Arabidopsis thaliana: one gene and its partner. The protein of the gene in region 1 interacts with the protein of each later gene in a pairwise test. Each region holds a gene or a part of one and is shown on either strand. Other genes may lie near its edges.

Evidence for each region.
Region 2: the proteins of KAT1 (region 1) and VAMP721 interact in a two-hybrid assay, tested with the Arabidopsis thaliana proteins (one study listed by BioGRID).

The regions. Positions count from the first base shown.
Region 1 is NC_003076.8:18,742,992-18,749,104, forward strand, and holds KAT1 (1), read right to left. Parts: upstream 4,416-6,113; 5' UTR 3,571-4,415; coding exon 3,392-3,570; intron 3,237-3,391; coding exon 3,021-3,236; intron 2,937-3,020; coding exon 2,781-2,936; intron 2,686-2,780; coding exon 2,628-2,685; intron 2,474-2,627; coding exon 2,156-2,473; intron 2,000-2,155; coding exon 1,760-1,999; intron 1,678-1,759; coding exon 1,579-1,677; intron 1,504-1,578; coding exon 1,285-1,503; intron 1,210-1,284; coding exon 661-1,209; 3' UTR 519-660; downstream 1-518. Other genes in the region: AT5G46230 (hypothetical protein (Protein of unknown function, DUF538)), read right to left, coding at 1-33. UniProt on the Arabidopsis thaliana protein: Highly selective inward-rectifying potassium channel. This voltage-gated channel could mediate long-term potassium influx into guard cells leading to stomatal opening.
Region 2 is NC_003070.9:1,330,966-1,335,424, forward strand, and holds VAMP721 (vesicle-associated membrane protein 721), read right to left. Parts: upstream 2,687-4,459; 5' UTR 2,462-2,686; coding exon 2,272-2,461; exon of another isoform or gene 1,766-2,271; coding exon 1,624-1,765; intron 1,545-1,623; coding exon 1,424-1,544; intron 1,235-1,423; coding exon 1,172-1,234; intron 1,036-1,171; coding exon 892-1,035; 3' UTR 501-891; downstream 1-500. Other genes in the region: CTF18 (P-loop containing nucleoside triphosphate hydrolases superfamily protein), read right to left, coding at 1-121; VAMP726 (vesicle-associated membrane protein 726), read left to right, coding at 3,795-3,984, 4,367-4,459. UniProt on the Arabidopsis thaliana protein: Involved in the targeting and/or fusion of transport vesicles to their target membrane.

The DNA.
Region 1 (6,113 bases):
TCTTTGATCTGATTTCGTTTCTTGAGACGACATTTCGATGAGATTTGTGGTGGTGACTTTTTGGGGACTTTTTGCTGGATTTATATAGAGGTGTGAGTTTTGGAATTGAATGACGAAATTGGGTCTGTGGAAGAGGAAGGAGAATAGTATTAGAGAGGGTAACATGGAAATTTCGTATAAAATGAGGTGGGACGCATGCAGTTCATGTTCGTGGAATAATTTATTTTATTCGTTGATTGAATATAAAATACATTCGAGAATTTCTTATTTTGATTTTTTTTTATTACAAACATGTTGAAGTGTTTAAATTTAAAATAAATCAAACTGAATATACGCTTAATTTTCTGAAAAAAAAATTTCGTCTTTTTAATAGGTAAATTTCTTAAAATCTTTATTGATAATAGAGAAAAATAAAATTTTCTTGATTTATCATGTGAAACAAGTTCAAAGCAGAAGACTCGTGTAGAATAATGTTTTGTGTTCAAACAGAACGGTATCAATGTATCATAGTCAAGCTGTGAAATAAGATTGTGTTTTTGTGTCAATTAATGTCAGTTTTGTATACTCTGCTTTTGATAATCTAGACTTTTCTATGAAACCGGGTAAAAATACATTATCTGCAGATATACATGCTCTATAAATGAAGTCGAGTTTTCAAACTCAATTTGATGAAAAATACAAATGATCACCATCCCAAATGACATCTAAATCATCAATCTCAGCGTTGTCCGCATTGGTGATCTTTGTGAAGTTGCAGCCTCCAAACTTCTCACTTGCAAGTCTTAGAAGCTCTTCTATGGATGATGGTAAGAGTATCAACTTCCCGTTCTTGCTCTCAGACATCATGTGGATGGTAACTCTCTTTTCTTCTCGTTTGCATGGCTTGATGATTTGGTTGCTTGAGCTGCAATATGGATCTTTTTTCGATGAATCGTTAGCGTAACTTCTTCCAGCGGTTTCACTACTTGATCTTTCCACTTTGGCTCTCTCTATCTTTTGTTCCTTAAGTATCTTCTTAACCATTTCAGTATCTTCCTTGTGAATCGCATCCATTAGAGCAGTGTCGGAAGTCGGATTCGTAACATCTAAACCATAGCCATCTTTTCTTGAATCTCTCCACTCTTCCCATCCCATGCTTTTGAAATCTCTGTTTTCGTGACCACTAGTATTCGAATCATCTATTGCTATTGACTGTTGCCCTCTAAGTTTCTGAAAGTTTTATAGCCAAAAATGAGTTTAGAGTTTGTTTTAACTATAGAAACATTTCTATAATAACTCACATACCATGAAGAGATTGTTCATGATGACTCGTCCATCGTCAGCATGAGCATGCATCGCACTCATCAGCGATGTTCTGCTTATCCGCAGTATTTGAGATAGCTCGGTTGTTCTTACTGTGAATGGTTGTGGTCTATAGTATAAAACTCCAACCTCTCCAAATGTTTCTCCAATTACTGCTTTCCCTTGAAACTGATCATGTCCATCAACGTAGACAGTGAAGTCCTGTACAATACACAATGTTACAAGATTCCTAACTGTTATTCACATATTTACATATAACCGATATATTTCACTCACCACTGCTCCTGACACCAGAATGTAAAGATCAGTAGGAGCTTCGTTTTGTAGAATTATATCTTCTTTTGGTGGGAAATACTCAGCGTCTATATCTGAAACCTTGAACATGAAAAGGTACATGGAGTTGGTCACCTCTTACATATTAAACGTTAAGAAAAAAGGTTAGAGAATACAATTTTACCAATTGAAAGAGGAAGTTACGAGAAACTCCTTGAAAGAGGTAAATGTTGTGAACAATGGGGAAGAATAAATAGTTTGCAATGCTTGACCGGATTGCTTTTGGCAGATTGTTCAAGGTCTCTTGTTGTTTCAAGCCCTCTGTTTTGAACTTTAAGCAAATGTGTGATAACATTTGATCTTGTATGTCATGTGGGAGTTGATTTCTTGAAGCAAACTCTGAAGCAGCTCTCACTGAATCCCTCTGTTTAACACAAAGCAATAAAGCATTACAGATTAGTAATACTCAATATTATTTTAGTCAACTTAAAATACTCAAAAGTACGTAAACCCCACGCTATTACCCGAACCTTTATCCGAAATGAACATGCCTAGACTAAAAGAAAGTGATCAAACTTACAAAGGTTCTGGTTCGGCTAGTCCAATGAACGACGAGGTTGGTCATATTTCCAATGAGGTAAGCTGTCAAACCGAGGTTGAACATCATGAAGAAAATGTCAAAAAGCATTTCTCTTGGGTTCTCAGCATGAAAATCTCCATATCCCGTGGTCGTTAATGTCGTAATGGACCAGTAAAGAGCAGTCACATATCTATTCCATAGACTTGCTTCTTTGAAATTTGGATACACAGCTCCAATCCATGTCTTTCTTGGATTAGGATATCTATCTGCAATCAGGTAGTTGAAACATCCAGCACAATGTATAGCGAACAAAGTGACCTGAGATCAACAAGCACGTGTAAGTCACTAGCTTTAATATGGTGTCCATTTAAAAGACAAATAAACCCTAAGAATAGATCACCTAAATGGACAGCCCTAAGCTTAAAATGCTTTATTATAAGTGAGATTAGTTTTGCTCTGTTTTGGAACTAACCGAAATGAGTTTTGTGCAACGTATCCAGAAATAGTTGAAACGGATATCTTTCTCAAGCCTGAAGCAAAGGTAAGAGTTAGTTAGACTTGAGTAAGCACTTTCTTAGTTAAACCCTAAGAAGAGTATGGTCTCTTAGTTAGCATAGAAGCAAACCTTGCAAATAGCGAGCTAACTCGCCGGAGACGCCATAACCTGAGCATGCTAAGAATTCTGAATCCTAGTTCGCTTCCGTTGTAGTTAAACAAGAGGCTTAGTGGCTGAAATGGTGCTGTGGAACAAACATCGAAAGCGAACCACGTCGAAAGGTACCTGAAAATGTTACAATTTCAAAACATACTTTGAGATTCTCATTCACTTATAAAAGGTTTCAAGTTAAGAAAAAAGGTTTCTCACCTTATTGCTATTTTCTTAGGACTGTCAACTAGAAGATAGGAGTGGCTATCGAGATAAGCGACGAAGAAGGTGAGAATAATATCAATGGCGAAGAAGCCATTAACAATGTTGTCGATGATGAAAATCGCGTCTTTTTTATAGGTGATGAAAGCAAATTGAAATGGGCAAATCCAAGCTGAGTAAATAACTAGTAATACTAGCCACATCTCCCACGCTCTGTTTCAACAAACAGAGGATTGAAAACAGAGTCTTTAAATATACTTATAACGTGAGTAAAAACAGAGTAGTTAAAACTACTTATAACCTGAATAGTTGAAAACATAGTTGAAAACAGAGTACTTAAAACAGAGTTTAGTAGATGAGAAAATTACCTGTAACGTGGATTAAAAGGAGAGATTATGTGTTTGCGGAGCTTAGTAGATTGGTTGATCCTGGCTCCAAGAGATGGTAGAAGATCGGCAGAGAGGAAACTACTCTGTTTTATGGTGTCTATATTGTATTCCTCGACGCAGAATCTTTCGAAGAAATTTCGAGTCCAAGAGATCGACATCTTTTTGATGATCTCTAAAGACAAAGAAACTGTTATACCTTTTTAGGCTTTCTTCTTGGCAAGGTAGTTATAAATAGTGATGAAGCTTGTGACAAAGCAACACGGGGAAACTTCTCTTTTCTTCTTCTGTTGGGACCTTTATGGCAACTTGTTGTGACCCATTTGTTATCTTTTTTTCTTTTTGGTTGAGAATTTGGCAGGGAAAGGTTAACGGCTTTAAGAAGACTCAGTGCACCATTAATGCTGCAAAACCAATATGGTTTCGATTCGAGAAGCAACAATGGTGAAGAAAAGGCGTAAAATGCGGAACGGAGTAAGTGTGAGATGATCAAAAATCTTGAGAGATGAGACAGAATTTAAGTGGCAAACATTGAGCTTTTGCGGTAGATATCATCATATTTTGTTTCTTTTTTGACACGAAAATATAAGATTCGAAAGAGGAGGAAGAAGAAGAGGAAACGCAATCTGTTTCTTTGGAGGTTTCTACTTGATGAGATTCATGACTATCAGACTATGGTGTGATGTCCACTTTCCTAGCATTTGAAGGTGGGAGTGATATATAGACATAGAGACACATATAAAGGAAGGAAGGTACGTTTGGTGTTTGGTAAGTGTTAATGGGAGGACAAAAATGGGCATGAAAATTATGGTGTGTTCATTTCAGGAATCCAGAAATGGACCAAGCAAAATAAAGAAAATAAAATGGCATTTGACAGAATATGTAAGGGGCCAGAGTATATTTTTTTTTCTTTCTTCGAAAAAAGTTTTATTTTCTCATCAACTATTCTTAAAGTATATGTCTCTATTTTATTTTCTAGTCCCCAAAACCAATCATAAGTTTATTGTACTCATTGCAAAAAAAAAAAAAAAAAAGTTATTGTTCTCATTTTGGATTGAGTTTTACTAAATAGCCATAAACTTGGAAGATTATTTCCAAAACACTCATATAGAAAATATAGTAGTCCATTTAATCTTTTTGCATGGGAAGTGAAACTCTAAGATTATTTTACCGAAACAGCTTATATAATGTATTATTATTATAGAAGCTACGTGAACTCTCCACGTGGATAAACCGAATCTAGGTAGCGAATGAGGCTCTCTAAACAGTGAAGTCCCAAACTCTCTTCTCACTCGGACACACTCGCTGGCTCGCAAGCAATATGTCTTTGTTGTGTTTTGACTTTGGTTTATACTTAGTACTTAGGAGAAGACACACCAATAGGAGATCTTCACGTGGTGGGTTTTTTCATGTGTGTACACTTGATTTCTTGTCCGTCCCATACTTCTCATTCCCGTCGGTATGGTGGCCCCTCCCTTCTCCTTCATGTTCTGATTCCATTTACTAATTTCTTATAAACCCTTTCTAGATATATGTATGTTTTCATTTCTCTAGTGTGCTAGACTCTTTATATCTTAATCTCACTAATAAAGGAAAAATACGTAATTTATAAATTTTAACAAAATAATAAACTTGATTTCTAAATTCTTAATTAAGAATTTAAAAATGACATCTTACTCATAGGAGGAAATATATGAAATGATAAATCCCATAAACTGTGAAAGAACAAATCTAGAGTTTAAAACACAACATGATAAAATATATATAACATGGCTATAAATATTTTTAACAAAAAGGTGATAAATTATAGATGAATTGTACATTGACTACATTCTGTGCAAATGAACATGTGCTAACCTTTTCTAATGCGGTTATAATTGACATGGGAAAACAAAAGAAAAGAAAAAAGAATCAGGAATTTTTTCTACAATAGGAACGAGAAATGAGAGAAAACAAATTGAAACAACTAAGAATAAAGTTATGAAAAATCATGGTTTATAATAAAACACATTTGTATACGAATATTGATTTTTTGGTAATCCTAAATATTTGACTAAACTTTTGTTTTCGTTCGCTAGTATAGAATGCCAAGTATAAATTCTTCAAACCTTTCCGCCAAATTTGTATTATTAAATCATTCCAAAGCTTTTTGTTTCTGCGTCGATCTGAGCCCGTTCGAATGTATCTTTCATGATTCCTTGTTGATATTTTGTTTATTGTCTTCCTGAATCCTAATATCATTATAGAAACAAAACAAAACAAAATAAAGTAAATGAGAGATTCCTAATATAAACATAACATGAGCTAACTTTAATATTATTTTCTCGTGATTAATTAGTTTTGCCAATAAAAGTTTTATATTAGGTTTTATGATCTAACTTACTTTTTAAAAGATGATTATAACTATTGAAAAATGAATTATTTCGGCTTTCAAATTTTAGTATTTTGTGATTTTTTTTTTGTTTTTTAATTTCGGTTATTCATATATTTCAAATCAAAAGGAATTACTGGGTTACTAAACCTTGCCTTAAAAGACCAGAAATCGTAAACTGCTTTAAGTTTGCTATTTGCTGTCTTCCTAGTGCAAGTGGGGTTGTTCATGTTAACTGTTTAAATTTAAGTTTAAGCTGTCACATGCATGCTAAGAGTAGTGTAGGGTCTAAAAATTTGTTAGTTATTTTTGTTGTTGTGGGCCATCATAAGT
Region 2 (4,459 bases), on another chromosome or scaffold:
CGTCGATTGGGTAAGGATATGGCGGCTCCTCAAAGTTTAGGTACTCATCTTCTTCTTCGTAGAAATGAGAATTGGCTTCTAGAAGCTCAAGCTCCTCCGGCAATGGGATATCGAATTCCATTCTCTGATATGATTGACCGTATCGGAATTTTGTTGGGATTTGGTGCTCGGTGAACAAAAGTGAAAATCGGAATCTGGTGTGAGCTTGAGCGGGAATGAGAGTGTTTTAGCGGGAAAGTTTTGGTTGCAGGATCTCAAATTAGGTTTTACGGCCCATTAAATATTCGGCCCACTTAACTAAAATAGCCCAAATATTTATACCATTGTGACTACAGATTGTTGTTTCTTGACAAGATGCTTCTGTATGTACTACTAAACTCTGTATTGGTTGCTCCTACTGATAGCAGAGTAAACACGTATGTTTGAACTCATAAACGACCCGATGGCCGACAAGATCTACTCAAGCGTTGCGGGAGGAGTTTGAACAAAACAACCTTGGTGGTCGGAATATGACGTACGTATATATATGTACTACCATCCCTAGTAACGATATAGAGAGGGCACTACTCTTATCTAAATTTAAAGTAACCAGCACACATCACGCCGTATAATCGTCAATACAATCTCAAATTTTTATCATCACCACCACAATGCAATCTTCAGTCAACAAAATCATTTAATAGTTTCGGATCTCTTGTCAAGTACTGACTGGTTCGCAAGGGATCAATGTCATCAGATGCAAGCAATATAGCAAATGAGTAGCATACATATATGTCTATCTATACAAAACCAATTCAAGCAGAAACATTAGATTGAAGATCGAACAATAAAAGAGAAGGCACTACGATGTACCGAGTGAGAAAGATCTCAGAAGTTTTGAATTTTCTGGGCTTAACACTTAAACCCATGGCAAACTGAGAGCACGATGATGAGAATCAGTGCGATAATGATGGCGAGCACTATGAGTTTTATCTTCATGTTCTGAAGCCACATCTTTCTTCTCATCTGCGTTCCTGTTGTTCTGAAATCTTGTGCCTGTGGCAGTTTGAGTTCAGTTAGACACAAGATATGGTAATAGGATGAGTCAGCTATGAACTCAAAAAGCATGTTCATCTTTGTGTGTGAGTGTAGGCAAATAGATGCAGGAGATAAGGGTATGAGAGAGTCTAACCTGTGAGCGAAGATTTTCGGTTTTGTCCACCAAAAGCTCAATTTTCTCACCACGGTCAAGAACCTGCAAATAATGAGTCGCATATGTAAGCGGTGTTACATTGGTAAACTGGACATTTCCCGTAAGATGTAATGCATTGAATTATTAGTAATTGATTTCACAGTAACTTAGTATGACTAGATGAGCTCTTTCAGATGGGTCAACCATAGATGTAAATATATACATTGAGGACAGAAAGGGTCAGATTCAAACCTTCTCAATGTTTTCCATCATTACACCCTTAACTTCTGACACTTGCGCCTTCACCTTAGCAAGCTTGCTAATCTCATCAGGATGATCCATGCAATACTGCATATGCTCTTTCAGTTTAGAGCTTCAAAGTTACCAAAAAGAGTCAGTCCACGAATATAAAAGAGAAGATCATCCAAATAGAAGAGATAATGAAAAAGTACCCAAACTCCTTATTCAAGCTGTTTGCTTGAGCAGTTGCAGCCTTTCCACCACCATATCGCTTGTTAAAATCTTCTTTTACTCTTTCCAAAAAGGACATGGGAATTTGCCTCCCAGCAGAATCAACCGCAACAACACAATAGGCTGTACAACAGGAACAAAATCAATCTCCTTGTCTTCCCTTACGGGATAATCAGGTGACATTGATTTAATATGAAATTGATATGGCTACAACAACTAAAGGATAGTCACAAAAGCTTACAATAAGACCCCAGATTTTCATTGAAAAATGAAGCCAGCCAAAACCCATGACCTAGGAAACTATACGCAAATAAAGCAACCAGTAAAAACCCTGTCTCAGATCAATGTTGGTGTTCTTCCACATAGTATCAACCAAAGCTACCACGGATTCTGTCCAAATCTGAGTGATTATACAGGTAAGACTCTACAGAGATTTATTGCGTTTAATAAATATAGATCTAACCCTAAAAGCTTGGTTCATGCGGTTCCTCAGTGAAATCAGACTACTCAGGATGCACAAATCCATACGAATCGATAGGTTAGGCAAATAAACCTAGAAACAAATCGAGGTAAGCACCGAATGGTGTAAGATTAAAACCTATGCATAGATCAAACGAAAAGTGACTTACTGAATCCATCTTCGACAAGGTAATTGAAGGTATGACCGTCGCAGTTGTAGGTGAACTTGTTGTTCGAAGACGGAAGCTTCTGGAGGCACTGAGCAGCGATTGAGGTGAAATTACCTTTGAAATCAGTGAACTCAACGAGGATCACCGTGCCGCGAGCTACGAAACTGTAGATCAACGATTGTTGCGCCATTTTTTCTTTACCTTAAATCTCCGATCCAATCGACCGTCTGATCAGAGAATTTTTTGGGCGGTCGCGGAAAAAAACTACAGATCTAGAAGACTATGAAAGAACAAAACGAGGACTAAAGTGGACATGGGAGAAGAAAAAGTTGAAAAGCGGGCAAGGGTAAAGTTGTCATTTAAGGTAGTCAGATTGGGTCAAAAATAGTATAAAACCTTGAATTTAAGGACTAAAAAAAAACAATTTCAAAACGGAGAGATCAAACAAATGTCGAGAAAGTTGGACCCGCCCGGATCCAGCCAAAAAGCTCGTGGACTCTGCCGATGGCACAAATTAGTAATTACCAACTTTAGGACAAGTTCAGGTCCCATGGTCGAAGAGAGTCTGTCTCTGTCTTCCTCAAAATATCTTTTTTTCCAAATTCATCATTGATCAGTGATTCCAGTATTAGCTCAGTTACGAACAAAAGGCTTAAACATAAAAACAAATGTTGTAATTAACCAAATTTCTTAATTCTTAATGGACGGGGGGAGCTCATAGTCATAGTATCTTGTTACAGCAACAAAATTCGAACTTCTACCGTTATCTCTTGTCATCTACAATTGCTCTGCATTGTTTAGAACCTGCTAATTAATTTGTTTAACGTGTTCCTAAAGATTTTGATCAACAATCAAATAATTGAAATTTAGGTAGTTAGGTTGTGGTTAGAATAGAAGGTTAGTGAATTGGAATGAAAGAAAAGGTTTGCAACATTATTTTAATTTTTTTGGTAGGAAGGTTTGCAACATTATCAATTGAACGTTCTTTTAAGTAACATAACATATAATTTATAGAAAATTTAACAACTCAAATATCCCTTACACATCGCAATTTTCTTTATAAAAAATCAATATATAATATATATATATATATATATATTTGTTTTTTAAAATGCTCATTGATAAACATTTCACATTTGAATTGAAAAACGAGCCACCGTGGTGTAAAAACATGAAGATACTATTATTAATTAGACGTGAATTATTTACCAAAATAAAGTTTATTAAGGCAATTTTCGACTATACAAATGATGAATTTTTCTTTTTATTTACTTTTTATATTTAAAAATTCAAAATTTGAACGTTACCAAAGGGAAAATAATGTCTCTGTTACTCGCGCAAATCCAGCGCTCTCATATAGTTTCTCTTCTCCGATCTCTGCGTCCTGCTTTCTCCATCGCTACCCCTCGTTCCCTTGTGTATTTTTACATCGCTTACTAATCTCTCTCATCAATTCGATCGGATTTTTGTGGTGTTCTTAGGTTTCGTTTTTTTATCTTTCTCTCATCTGGATAAAAGGAAGAATGGGACAACAATCGTTGATCTACAGCTTCGTCGCTCGCGGTACGGTGATCCTCGCCGAGTATACCGAGTTCAAGGGCAATTTCACCTCCGTCGCCGCTCAGTGTCTCCAGAAACTTCCGTCCTCGAACAACAAATTTACCTACAATTGCGACGGTCACACTTTCAATTATCTCGCTGATAATGGCTTCAGTAAGTCTCTATCTCCCGATCTGTGTCGATTTTGCTCTGTATTTCTCTGTTTATGCCTTGGTTCATCTGTTTTCTTATGAATGCTTAGTTTCGAAATCAAATGTTCGAGAACAGTGTAGCTTTGAATTTCGTAGGATATTCGTTGCTCTCGATTCTTGTGGCATTGTGTTATATTCAGATTTTCTTCTAATCAATGCCATGTCTTGATTGGATATGCAATCTGTTGTTTTCGTTCTGATTTTAATCAGCTTTATGCATGGCTTCTTTGGAATGTTTATTGTGAAGATTTTTATGTTTGGAAAGCTTTGGTTGTCCAATGCACGAATTTGCTTTAGTTGGAATGTGACAATAAGATTTCTCATTTCCCTCTGTTGTTATGCAGCCTATTGTGTTGTTGTTATTGAATCTGCTGGGAGGCAGATACCAATGGCTTTCTTGGAGAGAGTCAAGGAGGATTTCAACAAGAGATACGGTG